Arabidopsis thaliana: one gene and its partners. The protein of the gene in region 4 interacts with the protein of the main gene of each other region in a pairwise test. Each region holds a gene or a part of one and is shown on either strand. Other genes may lie near its edges.

Region 1 (4,369 bases), on a different chromosome or scaffold from region 4:
CATCCATATAGATAAGTAAATACTTTGGGTAACTCCAACTAATCTTTAGATTTTATAGCCTTCATATGATTTCTATAGTGATAGACACATTTTTACTAAAGATTCGTATCCTTAGATAGCTTTGTAAGTAACTAATGGCACGATTAGATGGTGAGTTAAGGTGGAATATAAGTTGAGATGTCCCAAAAACGACAAAAACCTTGCCCAAAAAAAGAGAGAGACAAAGGAAAAGTTAAAGAAAGGCACCTTATGATTAAGACACTCGAACTTACACTAAAACACAAATCTAAAAAGCTTTAGATAAGATCCAAAGATGGATCCACCTTAGAGGCAGGCTTTAACCAAATTACTATGCATATGATATTTTATAATACTGCAACTTACAGGTCTTTTTTGTATGTCTTCTTGCTATGTATATACTTATCGTTGTTACAAATGAATGACTTAATCAATACAGCCAAACAATATATAAATCACTGGTAGAATATAAATGACAATATTTCATATACTTCTTCTCATGTTATATTGTTATAGCATCAGATATATTGGTTTAATAAATATGGGTTAAAATATGAGTTGAAACGTTTAAATGTAGATTGAGTCATCCACTTAAAAAATATACTTGGAGATAGATTAGATGGGCATAAATACTATCAAAGTTAAATCTGATTTGATCATTTAAACTTTTATTAATTTAAGACTATGATCCAAGTATCAAAGTTTTACTAATAGGTCAAATTGTAATGTACTGTAGCATATATGCTCGATTTTGGGAAAACATTGTCTGATAAAAATGAAAAGTGGAGTGTGGAGACCACAATTCTTTTTGGGAACACTGCTCAATATTGCTACTGCGGCTAAGTGGCAAAGAGCTACCCCTACTGTTTCTTTCCTCTTTTCATGCTTCTGGTGGACCCAAAAAATGAGAGCCTATGGGCCCAAAACTTTTTCGAGATTCTCTTCTCTGTTCTCACCCCCAAGCCTAAATATCATCTTCCATCGCAATTATTGGCGACTTACTAATAATCTCCATTCGTTAGCTAAACTACTAGTGAATTTATACAAGTTTGTGAAGTTTAAACTCCAATACGTTTGATTTATTATAGAATATGTTATGCTATCATGCACATGATTAAATGGTTCACCGTTATTAGATTATCATTATCATCACTCAATTTCATGAGTAAAGATTGGTTTCACGAGCTAACTTATGAGTTATATCAAATCGTCTAGTGAATCTAAAACATATAATGTTAAGCCAAACTAAACAGAATTAGTGACTCATTACAACATCTCTATACATATATCAAAAAGGAATTGCATACAAAAGCGTATTTTAGATACTAAATCGTTTTGCATGATAGCATAACATGCACACCTTCATGAGATAGCAAATTGTTTTTTTCAAATACAAAAGTAAAAAGTAAAACAAAACGTGGAATACGAGAGTCGAGACAAGGGCATAATAGGAAAGGTTTCAGGACGCTTTCTGTGACCTGTCGGGGAGTAGATGTCTACACAAAACGTAACGTGTATATACAATACATTCATGTGTACCATTTTCTTAAATCAACATTTTGTGTTTAAACCCGCCAAAAGAGGAAAGTACTTACTTCTAATTACGGTTTATATGAATATAAAATTACGTATACTACTTCCGTCCACTTTTGGAAAATAATACGATTCCAAGAAAAAAGAAGATTAAAGGTAAAAAAATAAAAAAAAATAAAGCTCTCTCACACACCTTTTTATCATTTCTCATTTTCACTCACAATTTGATCTCATCTTTAAATTTTTTTGTTTCCCATTTCTCTCAGAAAGTGTTCTGTTCTTTTTTTCTTTTGTAATCACTAAATGCTTCAAAAGTTTGTCCACAATTATATTTGAAAAAAATGTCTGTATCTGTAGCAGCAGAGCATGATTACATAGGTTTGTCAGAGTTTCCAACCATGGAAGCAACAACAATGTCTGACAAAACCAAAACCAGAGACAATAACAACGGTCTCAATTTCAAGGCTACCGAGTTAAGACTCGGTTTACCCGGTTCTGAGTCGCCGGAGCGAGTCGACTCAAGATTCTTGGCTCTCAACAAGAGTAGCTGTCCCGTGTCAGGTGCCAAAAGGGTGTTCTCCGACGCTATTAACGACTCTAACAAATGGGTCTTCTCTCCTGGATCCACTACTGCTACTGGTGATGTCGGCTCGGGTTCTGGTCCCCGTACCTCCGTCGTTAAAGATGGAAAGTCGACAACTTTCACTAAACCGGCTGTTCCGGTTAAGGAGAAGAAGAGCTCTGCTACAGCTCCAGCTTCAAAGTAAGCTTTTTTTGCTCTGTTTTAGATTTTTCTCAGCTTTTTTGCTCTGTTTTATGATTTCTGTGAAGAGGGATTCTTGATGTTTTTTTTTTTTGATTGAGCAGAGCACAAGTGGTGGGATGGCCACCAATAAGATCATTCAGGAAGAACTCAATGGCTTCTTCTCAATCTCAGAAACCTGGTAATAACTCAGAGACTGAAGAAGCAGAAGCTAAGTCTGGACCAGAACAACCTTGCTTGTATGTCAAAGTGAGTATGGAAGGTGCTCCTTACTTGAGGAAAATCGATCTCAAGACTTACAAAAGCTACCTTGAGCTCTCTTCTGCTCTTGAGAAGATGTTCAGTTGCTTCACCATTGGTAACGTTTTCTAGTCTCTCCTTCTTTGAGATCAATACCAGTGATTGAGTTAACTGTTTTCTTTTGGTTCCTTTTTTCAGGTCAGTTTGGTTCTCATGGAGGGTGTGGCAGAGATGGGTTAAACGAGAGTCGCTTGACTGATCTCTTGCGTGGTTCTGAGTATGTTGTAACCTATGAAGATAAAGACAGTGACTGGATGCTGGTCGGAGATGTCCCTTGGGAGTAAGTCTTTGATTTTTAAAAGATCAATCTCAACAATGTAAATTAACATCAAGTATTAGATCATATCTAATGATCTTAGCACAGTTTTAGCTTAACAGAAGAATATAGATCAGTGAAGCTCTCTTACTGTTTTTTCCTCTGCAGAATGTTTATATGCTCCTGCAAGAAGCTGAGAATCATGAAGAGCTCTGAGGCTATCGGCTTAGGTTAGTATTTCTTTACTAAACCCTAGTTTAATGTTCCACACCCATGTGCTCGATTTTAAGATGTATTAGAAAGGTGGTCCATTTTGAACTAAGACACCCTTCTAATACTTTCATGGTTCTTAAGCTTCTCGCTGGATTCTATAAACATTCTGAAGCTAAAGAAATATATTACTGGAGAAACTAAAACGATGCAATTTAGTCCTTTCCAAGCCTCTTAAACACTAGGAACTTACTGCACACTACTGTACAAATGAAGAATACACAATGATTCATACACAAATCTTGCTTTTTCTTTTTTTGCAGCTCCAAGGGTGATGGAGAAGTGCAGAAGCAGGAACTAGGAAAAGCCCTTTTATGTGATAATATATGATTTGAAAAAATATGTTTTTAAGAAATTGAATAGCCATTTTGTTTTGAAGTATTCTTGTGTGTTTGTGTGCTAGGAGTGATGTTTGATCTTTCTTAAACCAGCCTCTACTAAGCTCTAATAAGGCCTCTTCCTCTTACTTCTTTCTCTAATCAATCTAATGAAACATATGGGTTTGTGTATGTGTGTTTGCCAAGGAAGACTTCATAATTCATATGTATAAAAGTTTTGGTAGTGTGTAAACCGGATGTGGTTTTCATTGTTATATATGTTTTGGATGCAAACTTTACTATAGAAAATAGTTTTTCTAGTTCATGAGTTTCCATGAAATGAAGTTATAATGATCCTTTGATAGAGCTTATATCATTCAAACAAAAGACTTCAAAAACAAGGGTTTATTACTAGACATGTACAACGGGTTTACAAGACGCACAACACTTACTAGCGTTTTCACATCTTCATACTAAACATATATATCTATACTACTAAAGAACCTAATCCTCAGATTCCTTTCTTTATGACTTCTATGTACAAAACGAAAGTGAAGACACCCACAAAGGCTTACCGGGATGACAGAGTACCTCCGATATACTTCCTTATGTCTCAGTTTTTCTGAAAACTCCAGCTTCTCTTGCTGAGGTTGCTCACTATCCAGCCAAAGTCGAGTAGATTTTGCCCGTATTGTATCTTCACAAGGTAACTTCTGTAGGGTATTAGTATGCTCTTGAGACCTGAAAGCATTCGAGATAGATGGTTTCAAGATACATCAGTACATCACCAAATGGAAACGGCCATTATCAAATATTACTACCTGAATAATAAGGTAAATTATGAAATAATCCCACATTGATATAAAAGCATAAGGAGATTGTAGTTACCTGTAATGCACATTGTTTTGTAAA
Region 2 (3,873 bases), on a different chromosome or scaffold from region 4:
GCGTAGATACCCTCGCTTTGCTCTTGGAGTTCCCCATCAGCGCAAGAGCTATGGAAACAAGGAAGCTCATGGTTAGGCTAGAGAATCTTACAAAACACAAGAACCGAAAAATATGCAATTCTGTTTCAAAACTTCTTCAATGTTGGAGGCAGAGTATCAGAGATCAACAACTCAGAGAGTCCCGTAAAACTCAAGGCTAAATGTCACTAGGGAATTTAAAAGCTTATGACTTGAAAACGTTGGTTGCTTGCTTATTCTTTTGCTTAAAGTAGAGTATTGTAGTCACTGCTTCAATTACATTACTCAAAAGCTAACAGTGAGAGGAATATGTATGTATTAAGGATTTTCACAATCACTATTATAAGAAGTTTAACCTGTGTGAAACGTTTTGAGTTGTAAATACATTATGAGTTTTGTAATCTATTTGCTTTCTTGCCTTATGTTTCCGTAACCCCATTTGATCTGAGTAGTTATTTGTGGATATATTGGCATAGTTCTAAGATCATTAGAGTAGACTCATCAACAAAAACCCTTAAAAACGATATTAGATAAGCTTCAAATATTTACAGTGTAGTAAAAGATATAAAGAGCATTCTCTTCCATCCATAGTATATAGTGAAATCGCAACCGAAAATTAAAAGACAGCAAAAAAAAAAACTAAAGAAAACCAGTAAAAACCATTATAAGAACCAAGAAAATACACAAACTGGATATAAGATCAATCTAGCTTATGCTTGCTTCAGAAGTATCTCAGACTTGCAAAACCCCAAAATATAAAACCTGTAACACCGTAACGTCGAAAAGAGATCTAAACCGGCTGCTTTCGCTGTCTCTCGTTTGGTTCTTGATTTCGTGCAGCTGCATATATATTAACATGTTTTAGTAGAAATTTTTCATTGCGTCATCTTGAGAAACAAGAACAGGAATCAAGATGAGATTATCTACATACCGAGTCCATTAGCTTCAGAGGTTTTCATCACACGTAGCCTTTTCACCGAGTTGATGAACATTCTAAGATAATTCCAACAAAAAGACCATCAGAAACATTTATTGGAAGTGTAAGAGATAAATAAACAAGGTTTTTAGATCTATTACCTCCATGGAACATCACCAACAAGCATCCAATCTCCTTCCTTATCTTCATAAGTAAGTACAAACTCAGACGATCCATCTAAAAGCCTCAACGGTTTAGTGAACTGACTGGTTAACCCGACAGTACCCGGATTAGTGCGAAAGAACATATCTTCCAATGTTTGCGCCAAATTCTCGTAAGAAGAATGAGCATTCAAATCCACTTTTCTTCCTATAGCAACTCCATCCATGTTCACCTTAATAAATCCAACTTGTACTTTCCCATTCACTTTCTTTGTCACATCTTTAGGTTCATCATCTTTCACTTTCTTCTTACCAGCTTCTTCTTCTTCTCTTGCTGACTTTGTAGCTTGGTTATTAACCAAACTGTTCATCCTGTGTGACCCTATAGGAGGCCATCCAACAACTTGACTGCTACAAACAAAGCAAACATCAAGTCAGGACTTGTAATCTATCCAAATGAATCAAAACCAAGAACAGATTCAACTATTCAAGATTCCTAATTCCAAACCAGAGCATTTCTTCCGACATAACTCAGATCAAGTATACATCCAAACACTAAAGAATCTTTAAGAAACTCCTAAACGAACTATGTTCAGAGAATAGCAATTTCACATCATACAAAAGGAATTAAACATCTTAAAAGATCTTTCTTTGAAACCAAAAAGCTTGAAAAAGACGAACCTTGAACGAGGAGGAGATGAACCAGCATGAGAAGCAGAATCAGCAGCACGTTTAGAACCAACAGAAGGAAAATCCTTAGCCGTCAAAAGCCTTCCACGCTCTCCCCACGCGCCACCACCACCTGATTTACCAATCTTGGCCGCCGTTCCACCGCCAAGACTCAGCCCTAGACCAAGCTCAAGCTCACTCTCACCTTTCCCCATCTCAAGTTCAGTAATCATCAGAGAGACCACAACAACAACAACAAAAACCCACTAAAAGAAAGAGAGCCCTAGAATCCAAAATCAATCCAAAAGAAAGAAAGAGTCTTTTGAAAGTCAAGAAGGCAGAGAGAGCAAAAAAAAACAACCTGGGAAAGGAAGACAAAGAAAGAAAGAGAGAGAGAGAAGGAAACAAGAAAACAAACAAACAGAAAGAGACAGAGAGAGGATTTTAAGGGTTTCTTGAAATCTGAAAGAGAGTTTCAAGAATTGAGGAAGAAGAAAGAGAGAGAGGATTAGGTGGTGGAGAGAGTGATGAGAAGAGTAGGACCCATATGTCTGGTAGTGGCCATACCAACAACAATGCCATTCTTTCTTCTTCTCTTTTACCCTTTTTTTATTCCCTAATTTTATTATTAACAAAGAAATTCTTTTTAACTTTTCTTCCCGACATTATCAAACTTGTCGTGCTCCCGTTTACCTTATTGTTTTCTCCTGTGTTTATAAAAAAATATGATAAACAAAACAAACATATCTTATTAAACTATATTAAATATATAAACTGTTGTTTTTGTGTTATGTGTTTGTATTTGTGGAAAGCTTTGTTTTTGCATCACACTTTCTTTTCTATTTTTGCAAGAATTTGTATTCGTTTTGATGATTGCTATATTAGAGTTTATTTTGTATTCGTTGCGTTTGATCTTATCTGGTTAGCTATGCTTTATATCATGTTCATAGTAACAACTGTTAAATATGTGAAAACGTATAGCTAAGTACCAGTTTTGAAAAAAAGTTGAATTTGGGTTTAGTTTTGGGTCACTATATGCTCATTTATTTTCTTTTCTTTTTTTCGTGGAGGACTAGACTATGATGGGTTCCAAATAAAGTGAGAACAAAATTGGTTTTCATTATAAGGAATTATTAAATAAATAGTGGTGATGAGATTATTCATCATCATGTTTCTTGATGTGAGCTATGATGATCCTTTGAAAACTTTTTCAATCGCAATTGATGTGTGGAAAATTCTCTTTTGATCAAAATCATGACTAAATGAGAACATTGAATTTCATACTCTATTGATGGATTTGCTAGAAATACCAAACTTAGTTTCAAGAAATATGTTGAAATTTCACAGTATTAAGATACAGTAATATTTCACAACCAAAAAACAAGTACAAGTTTGTTCTCTTTATTTATTTAGAAACTCAGGACACCTGAACCTCTTCAGACTTCAAAGCGACTTATTCTCACAGTTCCAAGTACACTAACAGTTAGTCAATATCAAATAGTTGATTCTATGTTTTTCACGTTATCTACGTTTGTTCTAGAATTGCGTGTGATTTTTATACTCGTTTTTTCTTTTTCCCTTCTACTTATTTTGCATTTTTACTCACTTGTTAGTTTTTATTTTTTTCTTAGGCGCTACCTGTGTCGTTCCTTTATAGGACAAAAGGCACGAACATTGCTTTAACTATAAAGTCGATACCCAAGTGGGCTGTGGGGTTGTCTGTAAAGGTGAAATAAGAAAAATAAGTAGATTATACGAACAGTTATTTATTATCTATCATATAGTATTAATGAATGCTGTTTACAAATGTTTATGAATTAGAGAGAATTCGTAGGTTTTATAGTAACTTCGGTATATGATTTTTTAGTTTAAATAAGAAATTTATTAATGAGTAAAGTGAGGACTTATATACATATGCATAAGAGTAGTGATGCAAAAGAAAACGTAAACAGAGCAAAATAACAGCTTATCTCCGGAAAATAAAACTTAGGTCTAAATGCTCAAAAAGTGGTTTAAATTTGTATACTATTTAACACGATAACGAAAATTGTAGATGTGAGTTTTTCTCATTTACTATTCGTGTAAAGGAAAAGTTATACATTCTTTTCT
Region 3 (4,933 bases), on a different chromosome or scaffold from region 4:
GTAATTCCATATTTCTAGTGGTTTTTCATTTTTCATTATAGAGAGGATATTTGTGTATAATTATGATAACCTTGTTAATAAATTTAGTTGGTATAAAAGTTAATATTCCTAATTAATTTAATGGGAAATTAAATGATAAACAAAGGTAATGAAATGAAGAGACCCATGAATATGCACATGGCATTGCTCCCTCTCTTCCCTATGGGTCCTATTTCTCTATTTTATTTCCTCCAACCAAAGCCAATTATCACTTTAAGTACCAACAAATCAATATACCAACAAAGTGAATTTTCCCCATTTTTGTAATTATATTCATCTGATATAACATATGTATATTGTAATATTGTAATTCTAATTATACCGACTTCGAAATTATACTTGGGGAAAGTTTACTTTAGGGTCAAATACTCGATCGCTATGATCTTTAGTTTCACTTTCAAGACGAACCAAAAGAATACTGTTCTGCCTTTAGAAAATAACTGACTATTAAGAGACTGAAATTAAAGAGAAGTAATGTGAGATTAAATTTTCCATAGTGGAATAAAAATCACATATTCCTTATACGAATATACACATCTTTGGCAAAATAAATAAATAAAGACAAACATATACATAGGAATAGGATGTTCAAATTATTACACATTTTCCATTACAAATGTCTCAAATATTTAACTTAAGTTCATTACACATAATAGCATACAAACTATATCTACATACCAAATCCAGATCAAAACACAGACAATCAAAAGAAACTGAACAATGTATTTCATCGTAAGAAAAAAAAGAGCAATTAACACCAATCAATGTGTTAATCAAATATATAATCGATACCACTTATCCTTTTAATTTGACTTCAAGCTCTGCTCTTGCACTTCTCCATCGCCCTCGGAGCTGAAATATTTTTACAATTAATAAGCAAAGACATTTGACCACGGTATTTATTCTGTTAAAAGAGTATATTTTTTATTCCCTCTGTTATTTAATCTCTTTCTTTTTTTGCATTTGACAAAAGAGAATCAAATATCATGTATTATATCAATGATTTAAAAGATCAAAGCGATAAGTTTTCTTTCGACAAATTTGTTCTTTACGGTAGAAATATAATTGTGCGAAAAATAATGAACGGTTTAAGCGTTTGATGATTAGACATCATCTTAAACGATAGCATATTAAATTATTTAGGCGACCAAGTTATGCGGTTGAGGTGTACATTATAGTAAACTTTTAAGCTCTTTTGTAAGTTTTTTTTTTCTTTTTGGGGCAAATCTCTTTTGTAAGCTATTTTAACTATATTGTATACATATACACGTAAATTTTAATTTAAATGGGTAACAAACTGAAATCAAAATTTAATCAATGTGAATATAATATGCATTGGTAGAAAATACATACCGAGACCAATGGCATCCGATCCTTTCATGAGACGTAAACGCTTGCATGTATCGACGAACATTCTAATAAATAAAAAGATTAAAACAAATGGTTATTTATTAGAAACAAATAAATGACATAAACAAAAATAAAGCTCGAATTTTAACCGAAACAATAAAGCTCTAATTAAATGGTAATTAATAAGGGAGAAGAAGAAGACGTACGGCCAAGGAACGTCGCCGACGAGCATCCAATCACCGTCTTTGTCTTCATAAGAGGGAACATAGTCCCAGCTATTCACCAAATCCATCAATTTCCTCTCATTCATGAAGTCTATCATTCCTTCTTCTCCTCCATGTTTGCCTAAAATAATCTTAGGTATAAGAACTTGATATCCTGAATTTAAACTTGGTGGTTTTCTTTTATGGTGCAACAAATGAAATATACATTTTTCGCAATTGGATTTTATCACATAGTTTTCTTTTCACAGTTTCTAAACTACTACTAACGGGTTACTCAATTATGAAATATTTGTATACTCGATAACGGTAATTCATTTGGGACTGATCTATCATCATGATGATTAATTTTTCTTTCTATAGTAACAATTAATTAGTAACTAAATGTGCATGGAAGGATCTACATATATATATAAGGAATATACTTATAAAACGTACCCATGGTAAAAGAGCTGAACATGTTGGACAAAGCATTAGAAAGCTCATCGTAGCTTTTATACATCCTCAAATCGATTTTCCTCAAGTACGGTGCTCCGTCCATTGATACCTTCACGAACGCCGCCGCCTCCGGGCCACCGCTTGATTTTTGGCAGGAAACCATCACGTTCTTCCGGTATGATCTCACCGGTGGCCATCCCACAACTTGTGCCCTATATTTTTTTTAAAACGGAAAAACGGTTATGTTATACAAGATATAGACTGTAGTTAGCTTTGACGTGATGTCACATAAATTTTACTTGCATGAGACTATGGGTTAAACATAATTAAATATATTAAGACATTGGACGATTTAAGAAGAGAAAAAAACCGTAGACATATGATAAAATGGTTTTGGCGAAGAAAAATATATATCTTTAATGAAATTTCTGTTTTTTTTTGCAGTCACCTTTACAAAAATGTTAATATTAAGAGCAGTAGAGAAGAGTGGAAAATAAATCATAAAGGACAAAATAGTAAAATTACTTGGCCGGAGGTTTGGCTGGATCTTTAGGACAAGCACTCTTCTCCTTGGAATCAAAAGTCACGACGTCATGAGTCGTAGATCCTTCCTTGTTTGCAGGCTCATTATTCAGATTTAGCTTCAGATCAACCGTCTCTGAGAACCCTCTCTTGTTTCCGGTTACCGGAGCCACTGTATCTCCACCGGGAAGACCAAGACACAGCTCAGTCTCCCTCAGATTCAGCTCGACACTGCCCATCATTATTAACCTTTCTTCTTCTTTGGTGTTCTTCTTCTTGGGAAGGTGATGAGGAAGATGGAAAAATGGTTTTATAAAAACACTCAAATAATACAAAGTGAGATGAGTCTGTATTATATCTCTGTCTAGGAGGTAGCTGCATGTGTATGTCGTATTTAAGAGATCTTTGATTAAACGGGTTTTAGACACGTGGATGAATCTAAGCCCTTTGATTAAGTCATCATCCTCGAGTTTTAGTCTTTTAGACTAATCAGTAATCACTGTTATTACTCTATTACTGTTATTGAATCTTTCTTATGATTTATCTTGTAGATTATGTATATATTATTGCATTTGACTATACAAAATGGATATATATTTTAATCCGTCTTTAATCGTTTTTCTCCCGTTAAAAGAGATATATAACATTTTGAGATTACAAGCGAAAGCACAAGTGAAGGAAAGATTTTAAAATTACAAGTGAATTATGAAACACATTCGAAGCAACCAAGTGAATTAAGTGGTGATGAACCGATTAATTGATATGGGGTATCTAACTAAATATATGTATATACCATATGGTCTTAAAAACTATATCAACGTATAGTTTATAAATATATATTCTTTTGAGTGGCGAGGTCGCAGACATCTCATATGAGAGTGTTACAATAGAGATGTACATTATTATTAATATAACTATATTATGCTTTTTGACTTCTAAATATAATTATTAACTAATGAATATATATTCATGATTTTGATTATTTTTCCCCGTAAGATTCTTCGCCGGAACCTTCCAATTATGCATATCACATCCACATGATTCAATTATTCATCCCACAATAAAAGCGCAGCCCTCTTGTATATAATTATTCTCATGCCAATACAAAATAAAGCATACGGTACATCTTCAATATTTATTGATTAAAAACTCACCTATAAACACGTACAGCGAAATGTGTATCTAGACACATAAAAACGCATCATTACTCTTTAATGTTTATACTTTGTAGTTAACAAACTATAAATTGCAATATTATAAACACCACTTTGTAGTTAACAATAAAATTGGTGATTAATTTTCTTTACAGATATTTACAGATTAAATTGACTACTAAAATATAATGTCTGTTTTTGATTATTGAAAATTATTTTTCTTCTTTTATATTGCTTGTGTTATTCTTGTAGTATGAAAGTTTTCAACAATAGGGTAGTTTTTTTTTTTTTTTGTAGTTATGAAAGCACCTAAATTTGTATTACATTTTCTATTAATTTGTCTATATTATCGCATTTCTAAACAAAAAAACAAATTCTGTCGCACTTCCAAAACATATTTTGTTTTTATTTCATCAATCACGCTTCCAAAAACAAAAATGATATGTTTTGGAATTGTATTTTCACGGCGCTTTTGCGAATTTTCAAACTTTCGTTCAAAATTCGACTTTAGTGATCTACTAGACACTGGTTTTAGTTCAAAGTAATCAGTTAGGCGTAAACTGTGAATACGGGACGTTTAAATAACACCAAGCGTACTAACCATAATTAACCAACGTAAATTCAATAAATATGAAAATAAAGAGGGAAAAAGGCATATTCCTACCCTAATAAAATCTATGAGAGGGGACATGAGTGGCATCAAAATCCAAAGGAAGAGAGGGTACAATTAACATCACCATAAATTCCAAAGCCAAAATTTAAATTAATGAGAAGAAGAAAAACATGGAGATGATAAAGGGACAAGTTACATCAAATAAAATTCAGGGGCGAAAACATCTTAAACCCTACTTTTGTTCCTTGCCTTGTCTACATCCTCCTCTTTAACCCTTTTCTCTCCTTTTGTTTCTATCCCAAAAAACTCTCATGAGTTTTCAAATCAACGTACCCCAAATTTTTCAATCGAATTTTGGGTCACTTTGTCTTATATATCACATCATTTTGTCGTGTTTTATCAATGTGTATCTACTTTGTCTGATCAATATATATATCTACTGATCACTATGGAATTCACATGAAATTGTAAACCAGTGAATAATATAAATTCTCGGTCCAGCCTACATGATTACAAAAAAATGCGCCCGCACACATAAATGGATTGTATGCGAAACTTTAATGAGATTGAACCAATGCAACCAAATCCATATATCA
Region 4 (6,106 bases):
AATACTAAGTTTGAAAATAATTGTATTGTTTTCTTCTTCATTATAAGGCAAATCTGAATTAAAAGTTTAAAACAATATTTTTTTTTTTGACAAATATCAACTACAGTATACACTTCATATGTGACTTTATCCGAAAACAAAATAGATTTTCTTTCTTTTGTCATTTGCATTTTATTAAAGAAAAATCTGATGCAGCTAAAAGGTTTGGAAATTAAAACTTAAGAATTTTTATAGAGAACATCATGGAGACTTATTTTTGGCACGATAACATGAACTTCCAAAGTTTAGTTTTCATTTTTTTCGATTTCAGTTCAATTTTCTAATAACACTATATCCTAGAAGTTCATTAATCCACAAATATTTTTACCAACTCCAAAAGAGAATCTTAACTAGTCGTTTGACTCCTTTACTTTTCCATGACTTTCATATGATGCCCGCCGCGTTGATTTCCACGCCTTCACGTATTTTGTATTCTTCTCTAATACTGTAGTTTTTTTTTTTTTAAGCCTTAATTATTGATTAGAAATATAATCTTTGAACCCATAACTAATTGAATGTACTTGGTTTTGAAAATTGAATGGTTATGGAACAAGTACATACACATAAAAGATGTAAAACCGCCCCATCAACCACTGTCCCAAAACCGAAATATTAAATCGCCAACTTGAAAAATTGACATGAAAAAGAGGACAAGACTTTATATACACAGACTAAAAAAAAAGTCTTTAGACACTTACGCACTAAAACGACGTCGCCGAATTAACCTTAATTAACAGCTAAAACTCTCACCCCCTACTACGATTTTCGAATGATTCATTACCATATTCCTCATTCTCTAACGACGAAGAAATCTTCAGTTTCGTTGTCATTTTCTTAACCTCATCGCTCGAATATATAAATATCTTCTTTGCCATCTTGCAAAACTCACTGCACAATCCCACACAACAGAACATTGCAAAATCAGTTCCGGTTTAAGTTCACATTTAACTGATTTGAGCTAAACCGGAAATGTTTAACTCTGTTATTTTAGAACTTACTTCCACGGATCATCACCAGCAAGCATCATATCTCCTTCATCATCAGTGAAGACAACGATCCATTTGTCTCGGGCAAGAAGCTGTCCTTGAATCTCAAACATCTCCTCAAGCTCATCAATCAGTTCATCGTAAGATTTCAACAGTGTTAAATCAACCGCACGACCAACCGCAATGCCTTGCATTTGCACCTTTTTCAATCCAAGATCAAAGAAATCAGATTTTCAAAACATTGTTGCTATGTTATTATATGAGTTGATAAAGAAAATTACTTTAGTTCGACTTCTTGATGTTTGTTGCTTCTTCTGCTCACTCATTGAGGTTGGAGTGATGGGTTCTTGACACTTGGCAGCTCCACAAGTATCCATCGGTTGCTTGTCTTGAGGGATTGGAGCAGGAGAATTGCTTGTGAGATCAAATCCAAACAACCTATAGCTACAATTCGTTGGAGGAGGAGGAGTCTCGGGTTTGAAGCTGTTGTTTGAGGAGTATCCACCTGAAATTCTCTCAAGTGATGGATCTTGAAACAGTTTAAGGGATGCATTAATGGAATCTTGGCTCTGAGGGAGGCTGTACAAGAAACTAGGTGGGGCTGGTGTTTTAACTGATGGCTCGATGGGTCTTGACCGCTTGCATTTCGATTGTGGTTGTTGAGCAGGAGTTGAAATTGGGGAAGTTGCCAAGAAAGGCTCTATCTCCCATGGTGAGACTTTATCTGGTCTCTGAACTGTTGTTGGCTCATCCCATTGTACCTAAGAAAGACCAAGACAAAAACGTTATATAAAGACCACGTAATAAGTAAAACACTAAAATGTAAGAACGTGGAATGGTTAACTGAACCTGCAATGACCTCCATTTAGAAGCTGGCCATTGTGAAGATAGATCTCCACTTCCCACAATCGTACCAGTAAATCTGAAGACGTTCCAGGTTTCAGAATCAAGAACACTGACAAAAAAGAAATGATCAGAGAAAATGGATTCTTACATTCTCTCAGGAGACTCTTCTCCTTCAAACCTCATTCTGAATCGGGTACCGAGAGAAAATCCATGCTTTATAGCTTCCATATACTTGTTCACCCCAACTATGAATTGGCTTATCCTGCAAAGAGAGAAAACTTTTCTTCAATCAAAGAGTCCTAAACCATCTATGTATATAAAGCAAAATCATCTAAAGAACATTACTATATACCTAGGCTTGTAAAAGACAACAAAGATTGTTGTTGTACGCACAGCATGAGAAGCTGTAGCAAGAACTCCCAAATGCATGCTCTGACTTGAAATAACCGAAGTAGGCATTGTGCTTTGATGCCGAGCTAATCGTCTCACTCCAACCCGTAAATCCCCATTCTCACCCCTGAAAAACACAAAGGCATTACATTTAGGTTCATGAAACTAAACAAGACCAGTGAATAAAGTTTCAATTTCAAAAGTACCTCAAGAACACAAAAGCATCTCCAGCTACAAGTCTTTTCGAGGATACAAATGTACTCCAACCCGTAGTAAGCAAATGCCTCCGTGGTTGTCCTAAACCAAAAACGGCACTCAATGAGTCAATGTCTCATTTAGTCCAAACACAGTTTCACAAAAACACACCAAGATTAGAATCAATACCTCTGAATATATGCTTAAACCTCCATTCAAAGCCATGAAGATCTCTAGTCACAAGTTCTTGAGTAGGAGTAGCTTGTGTCATATCCTAAAAAGTGTAAAATTGGAGTGAGAATTCAAGCTAAAGTTTCTTGAATTGAGAAGGTTTCTTTAAGAATATATTTACCAAAGAAGGCAAGCATTCAGTGGCGTGTTTACGAAGAACAGAGAATCCACCATGAGTGCTTGTATCTGAAGCCGTTAAAATCTTAACAAACGAATGAAACTCTTGCTTAGTTGGTCCAACAATAGGTGGATCAAGACTTGTTGGTTCACTTTGCTGCAAACAAAACAGTAAATTGAAATCAATTCCAATCAATATAAATTAACACTCACTGAAATAAAGTTGAGTTTTTTTTTTAAGAACTTACATCTTCCTCTGGTTGTAATGTGATCTGAGCGTAAACCTCATCTGTTTCATGCTCCGCCTATAAATCAAAATTTAGTTAACAGATTCAGGGGAAATAAAACATTTTAACATTTATGATCCAACTTTACCTTTAAAGTGACATCAAGAACTCGACAAAGTATCTTTGGAGGAAGATCAAAAACAGGTATTTCTTCTGAATTGATTCCTTGATTAGTTGACGCCACAAGCTGCAAAAAAACCCAGAATTTAGAAAGAGAATGGAAAAAGAAAAATTGGGGTAAAAAGAGATGATTTTTGGGTGGGTATATACTTGTTCCATGTGACCCTGAGGGAAGTAGAAAACTCTCTCTTGAGCACGAGGAACTTCCACTAATGGACCTGCACAAACTTTCCATAGCTCTGTGTATAGTTGATCTTGATAAGACCCTAAAATCAAACAACAACAAAACCCTAACAGTCACATTTCCGCGGCAAAACTATAACAAAAATGTGAACTTTGAAGCTATACGAGAAAAATAAGAAAGTTGGGGTTTTTTCTATTTCTTTCTAAGCTCGTCTCCCGAGAAAATGAAAGAAAAAAAAATCGAAACTTTACAAAGCTGATTTTGATTCTACAGAGTAAAACCCCAAACAGAGTCACTGTTAGAAACAAAAAAAAAAACAAAACTTTCTAAAGTCTCAGCCTTTTACTACTCACTTGACGAAGAACTTCCGAAATCATCATCACCTTCAACACTCGCCATTGAAGAACCCAGATGAGAACTGGAGAAGAAGAAGTAGAAGGAGAGGAAATGAAAGAAAATAGAAAGAAAAAAAAACCTTCACGCGGTAAACACTAGTCTTAACCCCATGAAAGAAACACGAGAGAGAGAAGAAAGAAAAGACCCATCAATGGAGAAAATAAAAAAAGCAAAACTTTATAAACAGGACACAACGGACGGTTATGTCCGTATTGATTGCAGAACGTAATTCAGGCACTGTTGGATAAAACTAAATCTCTCCCCTTTTTTTTTCCGTCAGCCACGAAACCGATCTCTCTCTCTCTTCCTCTTAAAATCTTTTTTTTTTTTTGTCTTCTCCTTTCCTTTCAGATTCCGTGTTGTTTTGCTTCAACAATCACAAACTTCTCGCCGTTTTTATCCCGATCCGCAGCAAACCAAAGCTGCTTCCTTTACTGAAGAAGTCTCACAGTATCATGCACATACATATATTCACACTCTCTCCTTCTTTATCTCTCTCTATATATCAAAATATAGAGAGACTTTCTCTTAGTTCAGATCCTGGAGACCTGTCATTTCCACCCACAGTAACTTCAGTTGAATCTCCCTATTTTTCTATTCATTTAATTAAATGTTTTCTAAAATTGTTGTTTTTTGTTTTATCATGTCATCGCTAAAAAGGAAACTCAAATATATTAAATGCGCTAAAATAAAACAAATTGTATTCAAAGGCAAACGAAGGGTCACGCGGCGTTTTGGGAATTGCTTATGAACTAATTACATTTTATTATGTAAAAAAAAAACGTACGGTGCATTTAAAGGAGAGGGCAAATCTCAGCCGTCCGATCAAGACGATAGTAATAAATAAGCTTATGACTTTACTCTATATCCCTAAATTGCCCTTTTTACTGATGACCCCGTTGCCGTTAGCACTTGACGGTGCCGTTACCCACATCGTCTTGTGTCTGGATCGTGGCAGGCAAACGTGTCGGCTTCTCTATTAAACCCCGGCCACATTTTCTTTTTTCCGTTATTTTTTTTTTTTGTGTAACATCAGATAGATTGTTTTTTCCGTTACAGATTTAATTTTTATTTAACACTGTGGAATGTGAGTTAATTACACATTATGCCATTGATCGTTTTTTTTATTTAGGACCCACAAAGGCTATGGCTACACCCACACTCGCACAAGGTCACAGCCATGACTCTTTATGGGACGAGCGTCTTGGGAAGCGTGTGAGTTTTATGTTACCACGTGCCGAGTCAGTTCTGAGTCGCTGGTGTTCATGCTGTATTCTTTTTTTTCTTTCACGCGCTTTTAATCTTAGCAAATCAAAAATCGAAATTATTTGAAAAATTCATGTTTACGGATTTCATATAATTATCGTTAATTGCTTTTATAGAAGGAACTTTTGAAACGTCAAATTTAAAAAATTAAATCGGATAGAGGTGGGAGACACGCGCTTAGTAAATGAGAATGGTGAAGAAGAGTGATAAAAAGTTGAGAAAGCCATGCCGAAGTGTCGGAGGAGAAAGTGGTCCCCACATGGACACGTCAGAGTAAGAGAAATTGCCACGCTGTTTAGTCGTATTCATGACCGACACGTGTCAAATGCTGACTTGTCCTACCAATTTTGCTCATTTACAGAGGAAATTCTATCGCTATTTTTCTTATTTTATTTTATTTTTCCCAATGATAGTGAAGAAAGACTATGATCCAAAAATATTATTGCGTTTTGATTTGTGTACACCCTTGTATTTAATAAAATTTGCAACACGAATCAATGTTGGCTTGTAACCACCCGATGAGACTAATGCTATCACTCGATACTATTTGGGTTTCAAAATCTTTTTTATAGCTTAAGATTTACCTAGAAAACGTCGACGATATTACATAGCCTTACCACTCTTTTTTACTTACAAGTTTGTATAATCATAAGTTCATAGTATTTTTATGTTACCATATACGAGTATTTATTTCCACTCAAAGTTATAGTGTAGACTGTAGAGTTCTCTCGCTAATTACATAAGGCCTACAAATGTGTGTTGTTGATAGTGAAACACTATTACAACATTCAAGCTTCGTTGATGAAGATTATGTGGCCGCGTTACAAGACGAAATATAGATGTGATGTATTATTGATTGGAATCATATATAGTCTCACTTCTCTAACTAGCTGATAGAGGGGTAAAAAAAACTTTTTTGAATCCCACCCAACAAAAAAATAATTAAAATAGTGCATATGATTATTGTACGGACAAATCCTTGCAAAGCGGAGACGAGATATGAAAGAATCGAATTTCATCACCAAAGGTTGAACTAAAGAGTGAAACAT

The links.
Region 1: the proteins of ARF18 (region 4) and PAP2 interact in binary tests that used the Arabidopsis thaliana proteins (3 or more experiments, as listed by UniProt).
Region 2: the proteins of ARF18 (region 4) and IAA13 interact in binary tests that used the Arabidopsis thaliana proteins (3 or more experiments, as listed by UniProt).
Region 3: the proteins of ARF18 (region 4) and AXR3 interact in binary tests that used the Arabidopsis thaliana proteins (3 or more experiments, as listed by UniProt).

What each region holds. Positions count from the first base shown.
Region 1 is NC_003075.7:14,322,737-14,327,105, reverse strand, and holds PAP2 (phytochrome-associated protein 2), read left to right. Parts: upstream 1-1,744; 5' UTR 1,745-1,892; coding exon 1,893-2,314; intron 2,315-2,418; coding exon 2,419-2,672; intron 2,673-2,752; coding exon 2,753-2,894; intron 2,895-3,038; coding exon 3,039-3,100; intron 3,101-3,403; coding exon 3,404-3,441; 3' UTR 3,442-3,810; downstream 3,811-4,369. Other genes in the region: AT4G29070 (Phospholipase A2 family protein), read right to left, coding at 4,071-4,198, 4,346-4,369. UniProt on the Arabidopsis thaliana protein: Aux/IAA proteins are short-lived transcriptional factors that function as repressors of early auxin response genes at low auxin concentrations.
Region 2 is NC_003071.7:14,113,761-14,117,633, forward strand, and holds IAA13 (auxin-induced protein 13), read right to left. Parts: upstream 2,210-3,873; 5' UTR 1,998-2,209; coding exon 1,777-1,997; intron 1,507-1,776; coding exon 1,096-1,506; intron 1,012-1,095; coding exon 950-1,011; intron 859-949; coding exon 809-858; 3' UTR 521-808; downstream 1-520. Other genes in the region: AT2G33300 (Transcription elongation factor (TFIIS) family protein), read left to right, coding at 1-200. UniProt on the Arabidopsis thaliana protein: Aux/IAA proteins are short-lived transcriptional factors that function as repressors of early auxin response genes at low auxin concentrations.
Region 3 is NC_003070.9:1,134,261-1,139,193, reverse strand, and holds AXR3 (AUX/IAA transcriptional regulator family protein), read right to left. Parts: upstream 3,117-4,933; 5' UTR 2,813-3,116; coding exon 2,574-2,812; intron 2,261-2,573; coding exon 2,049-2,260; intron 1,735-2,048; coding exon 1,596-1,734; intron 1,455-1,595; coding exon 1,393-1,454; intron 892-1,392; coding exon 854-891; 3' UTR 531-853; downstream 1-530. UniProt on the Arabidopsis thaliana protein: Aux/IAA proteins are short-lived transcriptional factors that function as repressors of early auxin response genes at low auxin concentrations.
Region 4 is NC_003074.8:22,885,859-22,891,964, reverse strand, and holds ARF18 (auxin response factor 18), read right to left. Parts: upstream 4,077-6,106; 5' UTR 3,795-4,076; coding exon 3,749-3,794; intron 3,698-3,748; exon of another isoform or gene 3,478-3,697; coding exon 3,362-3,477; intron 3,279-3,361; coding exon 3,180-3,278; intron 3,110-3,179; coding exon 3,053-3,109; intron 2,962-3,052; coding exon 2,809-2,961; intron 2,731-2,808; coding exon 2,646-2,730; intron 2,559-2,645; coding exon 2,468-2,558; intron 2,389-2,467; coding exon 2,224-2,388; intron 2,134-2,223; coding exon 2,020-2,133; intron 1,948-2,019; coding exon 1,875-1,947; intron 1,787-1,874; coding exon 1,307-1,786; intron 1,226-1,306; coding exon 1,038-1,225; intron 928-1,037; coding exon 786-927; 3' UTR 510-785; downstream 1-509. Other genes in the region: AT3G61829 (uncharacterized protein), read left to right, coding at 4,643-4,774; AT3G61826 (uncharacterized protein), read left to right, coding at 5,242-5,334. UniProt on the Arabidopsis thaliana protein: Auxin response factors (ARFs) are transcriptional factors that bind specifically to the DNA sequence 5'-TGTCTC-3' found in the auxin-responsive promoter elements (AuxREs). Could act as transcriptional activator or repressor.